Nothobranchius furzeri: one gene and its partner. The protein of the gene in region 1 purifies or fractionates together with the protein of each later gene. This does not show direct contact. Links are inferred from orthologs where the notes say so. Each region holds a gene or a part of one and is shown on either strand. Other genes may lie near its edges.

Region 1 (3,500 bases):
TAATAATCTTAATTTTTTGTTTCTTAAACCCTCAAAGAATTATGTACAAAAAAAAACAGTATTAGGAAATTAAAAAGGCACATCTATGGTGATATTTATTCTGTAATACAGTGACTCAGCAGTGACCCGAGGCACTCGGTACCTGCAGTGGATGATCATAGGACCAGTGTTAAATTCGTCCTGCTTAGCGTTGACTTGGGTGAGGAAGCTGAGGACTCCGCCTGGTTCCTGAGGGACGCCGTGATCGGGCCAGCTGAGGTACTGGTAGTGCCATACTGGACGGGAAAAATTGGGCTGGGAGTGAGAAAAAAATGGTTTCAGATATATATTTTTTACTTTACAGCCTTTTAATCTTCTTGTGAATGTACTTTGATGCTGTTACACCTAAATTTCCCCATCAGGGGACTATAAAGGATGTTCTTATTCTAATCTATTACATAAATGCAAATGTTTCCTCCAAAATGTTATAGTTCTGGACTAAAGTGATCTGAAAAACCACCACAAAGGCTGAAGATACTTTAAGCTATTGCTTTCAAACTGGTTTCAGTGGTTTTTGAGCCATAAATTTGACCGACTTCACATTGGACAGCACTCCGTTTCCCCCTGCTGACCAGAAACTGGACCAAACAGTTCTATGGTTTGGGTAGGAACACTGGTGGGAGATCTCTACCCTGTTCTATAGCTGTTACCCCCAAATTCCACTACCTCCGCTCCGCTGCGCTCCGCTCCGACACGAACGCCGGAGCAAAATCGGTCCCGTTCTAGTCAATCAGAGCAATTCCACTACTGCGGCCGTGCTCCGGCAGTGCGGCGCCGTGCGGCGCCCTCTGTTCCGGCGTCCGGCAAAAATAGAATCGATCCTATTTTTGCCGGACGCCGGAGCACCTCCGCAGTAAATGGACAGAAATCACAACGGCCCAACAGGAAAAGGAGCAAGCACATCTTCCGTTTTTCACAATAAATCGATAAACAAAAGGCGTTTTTTGTTTCATATGCACAGGTTTAACAACTTTTAACAACTATCAATGGCGGCTGAAGTTTAAATGCACAAAAATAAGCCATAAATACAGTTGCCACTATCAAAGTAGTCACACTTTGTTGATCCAAACACTGCTGATCTCTCAACACAATGATGGGCAGATTAAACAGCTCATTTCGATGCTTCTCCCGCACAACGGGTGTTTGGATCTAACTTCCGCGTTTATTGCTCGGACTGTATCGCAAGATCTCGAAAATCCCGCGCATGCTTGTTTGCCCCCCTCAGGTCTCCGCACCGGAGCGGAGCCGTTGTAGAGCGGATACCAGTAAAAATTGAGTTCGGAAGCGAGCGGCTGCGGAAGGCGGGGGCGGACCGGAGCGGAGCGGAGCGGAGGTAGTGGAATTTGGGGGTTAGTTGTTTATTGTGCTACTAGCAGTTAGCTAAAAAGGCTAGTTAGCTTTTTTTGGTTCACTTACTGTCAAGAAGAAGACGACTTTTGCTTTTTTTGTTGGCATCATGGCAGAGAATTCGAGTAAGAGAGTAATGTCTTTGGAGCAGAAGCAAAGAGCTAAAACCTGAGTGAACATCGGCACGCCCTACGCTAGTTTGAGGGAGCTAAACGAGGCTGCAAAATCACGGCCTGATGGTGACCTGGCTTTGTTGCTACTGGACGTGTAAGTAATAATATCCTTTCTCCAACAGTGTGGAACTTTTTACTTTGTGGTTTATTCAGTATCAGTTGGCTAGCACTAGCTTGTTAGTGCTAGCTACGACAGGCTGCTACAAGGTTGTTTATAACAGTTGTATTTCTGCTTTCAACCAGCAGAGGCAGGAAATGTATTTAGTGTTGCTTTAAGGATCACAACGAAGAAAATCTAAAAGAAGGAGGGACGACTAAAGTGCACAGAGTTGATGATGTCAGAGGTTTGAAAGTGACCTTAGCCACGGGAGCGATCTTCAGATGTCGAACTTTGTAATCAGAAGCTTCCCGCTCCGACTCACAGGTCACCACGTAATCTCCCACGTTCTTGGAAGTCTGACTTTCCGGCCAGTATGGTACGCATTTATTCTGCAGAAAAGCAAAAAAAGACACTCAGATAATCTCTAATATCATCAGCAAATGTAGATTATTGCATCTCAGCCAATAAAGTTCATCTTTATTCAGTAGGAATGTTTGGATTTTTTTAAGTGTCTGTTCCTGTCATTTTGGATACTGACCCGTCCTTTCTCCACCTCTCTCGTTGTCATGACAATCACAGTTGTGTTCTCCTGCCACACCATCTGCCAGAAATCGTTGACGGTTGTTGCGAGGCATCCCTGAGTGGCGATGTACTTTTTCTGTCCAACAGATTCCCACAGCTTGTTCTGCAACCAACACACAAACACGCTAAAGGCCCAGACGGTTTTCAGACGGCGGCGCTGCTCGTCCAGAGCGTTCCACCACTTACTTTCACGTAGTTAGCATTGATGTAATCGGAGCCGACGACATCAGGAGAAGCGTTCTTCAGGATGACTCTGGTGTCGTTGACTTGTGAGAGAAGACAAGAAGAGGGAGACAGGATTGGTCACAGAACCGGGTTTTTGTTTACAGAGCGAGAACCAGAAGGTTAAAACTCACAGGGAAGAATGTTCTTGTATCTGTTTTTGCTCTTATTCTCTGGTCTTTGACCTTCCTCTCTGCTCTTTTTCACCTTCGTCTCCAATTTTTGAAGAGCCTGCAAGAGAAGAGATATTTGTGTCAGATACTGGGAATTACATACGATTTTATTGAGACAAACTCATCAAAATAAATGTATTTTTGCAATTTCCTATATGCAGGAACAAGAAAAACTCCTAATTCCTCCTAGCTATTCTCTAAATGACCTTGTTTGTTTTTGTTCTGGTCCTCTATTTAAACCTTTGTAGGTCTCATAAAAGGATGACCAAACATTTTCACTTTGATTTTTCACTAATCCTTTTTATATTTTGGCAGATTTTTCACCCGTTTTCTGTCCAGTTCAGTCAAAATATCTGTGCAGTGTGTCAGAAAAAACTGAGGCAACTTGATGTGTGAGCTTTGGGAAAAAAGTCCTAAATGATAAAGGTTTAGAAGAACTGATGTTAACAAATAAAAAGATTTGGTGTCTGTGTCCAGCTGCTGGTAACAAACATCCTGGAGATCCGTATTTCAAAACCAGTTTCTTTGTTCAGCTGCTTGTTATGTGTTGAGCTCAGGATGTTTTATTCATTTTCTTTAGCATTATTGATTCATCGGTCAAGGTTTGGAGGTCTAAATGGAAAGCTGATCCTGTGTAAGGAAGAACGAAAGATCAGGAGAAAAAACTAGAATTAAAATAAAAGGCAAAAAAAAAAACGATCAAGGAACCTGTTGTTCTAGTTTACAGGAGAATGTTTAATTTAAAGCTGTGCTCTATAGCTATATAACATAATGCATGAGGATTGTGAAGGTTAAGTAGATTTTACAGCTACACTGCAAAAAATGAGTTCTAAAAAAGAAAAAAATTCAATTTTTTTAAACATT
Region 2 (4,051 bases), on another chromosome or scaffold:
CACATTAGACCACTCCAGTTTCATGTTTATTTATTTATTTATTTTTTGTAAAAATCATCAAACACTTTTCTTTTTGGTCCACAAAAGACAGGACTGAAGGAGCCAATGCAGTATATTCTCCAAGACTGATGTGAGGAGAAAGGATGCTTCATGTTAAAATAACACTATCATCAGCATACATTTGGAAGTGTACACTGTGTCACACATTTGGCACATCATATATATATATATATATATATAGATAAGGAAAATAATACTGGCCCCAAAATAGAGCCTTGTGGGACCCCCGCTGAACAATCAAGGTATGATGACATCGTGTCCCTCACACACTGTCTTCTGTTGGACAAGTAAGACTGAAAACAAGCTATAGTGCATTTTCTGCTAAATTGATGTGAGTCAGTTTGGACGGAAGGGCTTGATGGTCTACTGTGTCCATCGTCTTCTATAAATCCAAAAAACACTGCACCAACACAGGGGGTTTTATCGTGCAAGGATTTCACTGTTTCTACAAAGATCCAGTTTGCTGTCTCTGTGGAATGGTACTGCTGAAACCCAAACTGCATGGGTGCAAGAAAGAATGGTGGCTGTGTTTATTCAGCAGCTTTAAATATAAGGGTCATTCGCAAGAAACCTTAACTTTCTAAGTAAGATTAATTATTTAAACAATGATAAGGTGAAGGTTTTTTTTGTTGTTATTTTGTTTTTTACAAGGCTTTAATGAACCGGTTCACCATTTCTTAGCTTGGTGGTCTCAGTGTGAAGAACCAAAACAATCAGACAGTGGCCCTGTCGGTACATCGTCAATCAAGTGAAGCATTTTCCACAGGCTTATTATTTCTTCTTTTATAAGTTTCTCAATTTACACAGATTACTCCATTGTATTTAAATTAACTTACTTTAATCTGTGTTTTTGTGTATTTTGTGCTTTATGTGTATGGCTGAGACAAGTTTCACTATTGGTCAGTAAAGTGAACCTGGACCTATAAAAGAGCTTTTATTTGCACAGTCAGATGGAATAACTGTTAATTAATCCGTTATTAAAAATAACGAGGCAATTTTAAGTGTTCCAACTATAATTATTTGTGTGTGTGTGTGTGTGTGTGTGTGTGTGTGTGTGTGACTTTTTCATGTGTTTTAGGCAATTTGGCGAAATTTACTGAAAGAAATTAGAAATTATTTCACTAATCTCAGTGACTCGGTTTTAATAGTTTATATTTATAATTGTATTCTAACTTACGGGGCATTTCCGATCAGGCATCTCCGCGGACACCTCTGTATGGTGTCATTACCCATCATTCCTTTCGGCCTGCCTTTTCCTCCATCTTTCTGGACTAGGAGCAGGTAAGCGTTGACTTCTCCTAATCAAACTTAAATTTCACCTGTAAAGTGTTTCATCTGAGGCCGATACCGGTCTGCTCTCCGCAGGCAGCGTCCCCTCCGTCCTCCGGTGTGTCGGTGTCCGTACTGGAAGTCCCGATTGTGGAGATTCGGTTCGGATGATGGAGCTAACGGCGGCTAACCAAACAGAGTCCGGTGTATGCATCGGGATGGGAGCGTTACAATTCACGGCGCTCCGTCGCTTTCTCGGGTCGTGTTCGGGTGTTTCCGGGAACGAAAAGCGTGACTTTTTCTTTCTAACGTAAGAAGCTGTTTTAAAGCGTAACCCGCTGTTAGCCGCGCTTTAATTTAGCCGTTTGTTCCGGGACCAGAGACCTGATGAGCTTCTGTTTGGACCTCCTTAACTCACCGGAACTTCCGGAATCACCGCGGAATCGGTTCGGTGTTTTCTCATGTGATATAGACACTGAAGATCTGTTATTGGGCTATACTGGTTCCGTTTCTGGAGTGGACTGGGTGGCGTTAGAAGTGAGGAGGAACCTTTCCCTAGAAGTTGAAGGCTAAAGCCAAATATGAACTCCTGCAGGAGAAAGGGACAGCCAAGTTAAAAAGGAGCTCTGTTAAATGGGAACCTGCAGTTCTAACGAGACACTTTCTGTTTGTACAGGTGAGCTCGCCTGAAGAGGACAACGATGCCTGGAAGGTAAGTTCAGATCTCTCCTGGGTTTTCAGATGTTGAGCAGATCAGAGATCAGCAGCTGGGGGTTCTGATTGTTTGGTCCATTTCAGTAGGTGTTACCTGCTCTAGGAGGGGTTATGATCCAAAATTATCAGAAAGTTCTCAGCTGTTCCGATACAAGTCAGACTGCAGACTCTTATCGGGACTATGTTGATGTTTGTCTCTTGTTGGTTCTCTTCTGACCCAGACTGTGGAGCAAGGCCATCTTCACCGGCTACAAGCGCGGTTTGAGGAACCAGCGTGAGCACACGGCGCTGCTGAAGCTAGAAGGCTGCTACAGCAAAGACGAGGTGGACTTCTACCTGGGGAAGCGCTGCGCTTACGTCTACAAGGCCAAGAAGTAGGGACCGCACACACTGGTGCTGCTGCTTCGTCTCTGGGGCTCCTGGGGACTGACTCTGGGTCTGTTTCACCACAGGAACACGGTGACACCCGGTGGGAAACCCAACAGGACCAGAGTGATCTGGGGGAAGGTAACCCGGGCCCACGGCAGCAGCGGGATGGTCCGAGCCAAGTTCAGCAGCAATCTGCCGGCCAAAGCGATCGGACACAGAATCCGTGTGGTGAGTTCTTCTACTACCTGCTGCGTCCCCCAGACCCGTCTCCTCGTCTCAGACCAGGTCCACCTCAGTCTTTAGCAGCAACACGGTTGGCTGATCGTCATTAGACCCTTTACTGACGATGGGGTCAAAGTTCTCTCTCTCTGTGTGTGTGTGTGTGTGTGTGTGTGTGTGTGTGTGTGTGTGTGTGTGTGTGTGTGTGTGTGTGTGTGTGTGTGTGTGTGTGTGTGTGTGTGTGTGTAAAACTGGTACTAATTGTTTTAATTGTTTTTACTTCCTGTTTGGATCAGTTGGGCCTGACCCATTAGAATAGTTCTAAGACAAGGTGACAGATCATTTGCTGCTGTGACCTCCAGACTCTAGAACCTCTCCCTGAGCCTGAGATCAGTGGACTTAATGGTCTCCTTTAAAAAAAAGCAACTGAAGAATTACCTGGTCAGACGTTTGGGGACATTTTGTCATTGAGCCGGTATACTGGTACAACAAAACTTGCGTTTCAGCATGACCCGTCCACGATTTAGACAAGCAACACTTTTAAAAAAACCAAGCACGACCAGGCTGACTGGCTCCTGAACCACCGCTCGTTAACGGCTCTTTTTTCTAGTGTTTCTGCATCTTTCTTTCTCTTTTATCTTCAAAGAGGTTCTACACCTATAACATAACGTCAGCGGGCAAATCTGGTCAATTCAATAGAAAACAGCTGGTATTTGACCCAATTCCTCTGGAGGTTTTTTTGGACGCGTCACTCTGATGGCGTCTTCTCACCCGTGTCATTGTGGCCAGGGATGCACAAGCTGCATCAGTATCTGTATCGTCTGACGAGTAAAACTGGGTCGATGTTAAACAATAGTTTTTCCATCTCGTTTCCATTTAGGCAGTTTTGAGTGTGTGTGTGTGTGTGTGTGTGTGTGGGGGGGGTGTATGTGTAATTTTTTTTAGTCATGTGACAGTGTGTTTGTGTGTGTGTGTGAATAAAAAAAATCAGTATCTTCAAATATCGGTCATTGGCCATAACAGTAATATTGATATCTGTATTGGCCCAACGTTTTCATATCGGTGCATCCCCAATTCATACAGTCTTCTCCTCTTTACAGATGCTGTATCCATCTCGGATCTGATGGGGTTGGATCATCTGGATGTTTGTACAGAAACAATAAACAGATTAAAAATCATGATCTCAGTGTTTTTCCTTCGTGGATCGGCTGGTCAATAGTTGATCAGCTGAGTTTCTGATCTAAAAGATCTTTAAAGAACAGAATTTCTTTTGGACTGATATCTGAAGTCGTTTGTTTTAACTGATGAAACAAATGAGCTGCAATCCTGGGTGATTTAAATCCACTGAAGAACCAGAACCTGAGACCCGATGGTTCCGAAGGGATCATAAGAACTTTTTCTGTTTCTGTTTGGAGTGCAC

The links.
Region 2: the proteins of ptpn6 (region 1) and rpl35a purify together in Homo sapiens (affinity purification with mass spectrometry; 3 studies listed by BioGRID and IntAct, with this or other methods). This does not show direct contact. The link is inferred for Nothobranchius furzeri from reciprocal best matches to the Homo sapiens genes PTPN6 and RPL35A.

What each region holds. Positions count from the first base shown.
Region 1 is NC_091745.1:73,963,614-73,967,113, forward strand, and holds part of ptpn6 (tyrosine-protein phosphatase non-receptor type 6), read right to left. Parts: intron 2,695-3,500; coding exon 2,598-2,694; intron 2,508-2,597; coding exon 2,428-2,507; intron 2,345-2,427; coding exon 2,198-2,344; intron 2,049-2,197; coding exon 1,917-2,048; intron 295-1,916; coding exon 143-294; intron 1-142. UniProt on the Homo sapiens protein: Tyrosine phosphatase enzyme that plays important roles in controlling immune signaling pathways and fundamental physiological processes such as hematopoiesis.
Region 2 is NC_091753.1:55,779,260-55,783,310, forward strand, and holds rpl35a (large ribosomal subunit protein eL33), read left to right. Parts: upstream 1-1,251; 5' UTR 1,252-1,341; intron 1,342-1,426; exon of another isoform or gene 1,427-1,639; intron 1,640-2,005; 5' UTR 2,006-2,030; coding exon 2,031-2,041; intron 2,042-2,264; coding exon 2,265-2,417; intron 2,418-2,495; coding exon 2,496-2,640; intron 2,641-3,731; coding exon 3,732-3,755; 3' UTR 3,756-3,809; downstream 3,810-4,051.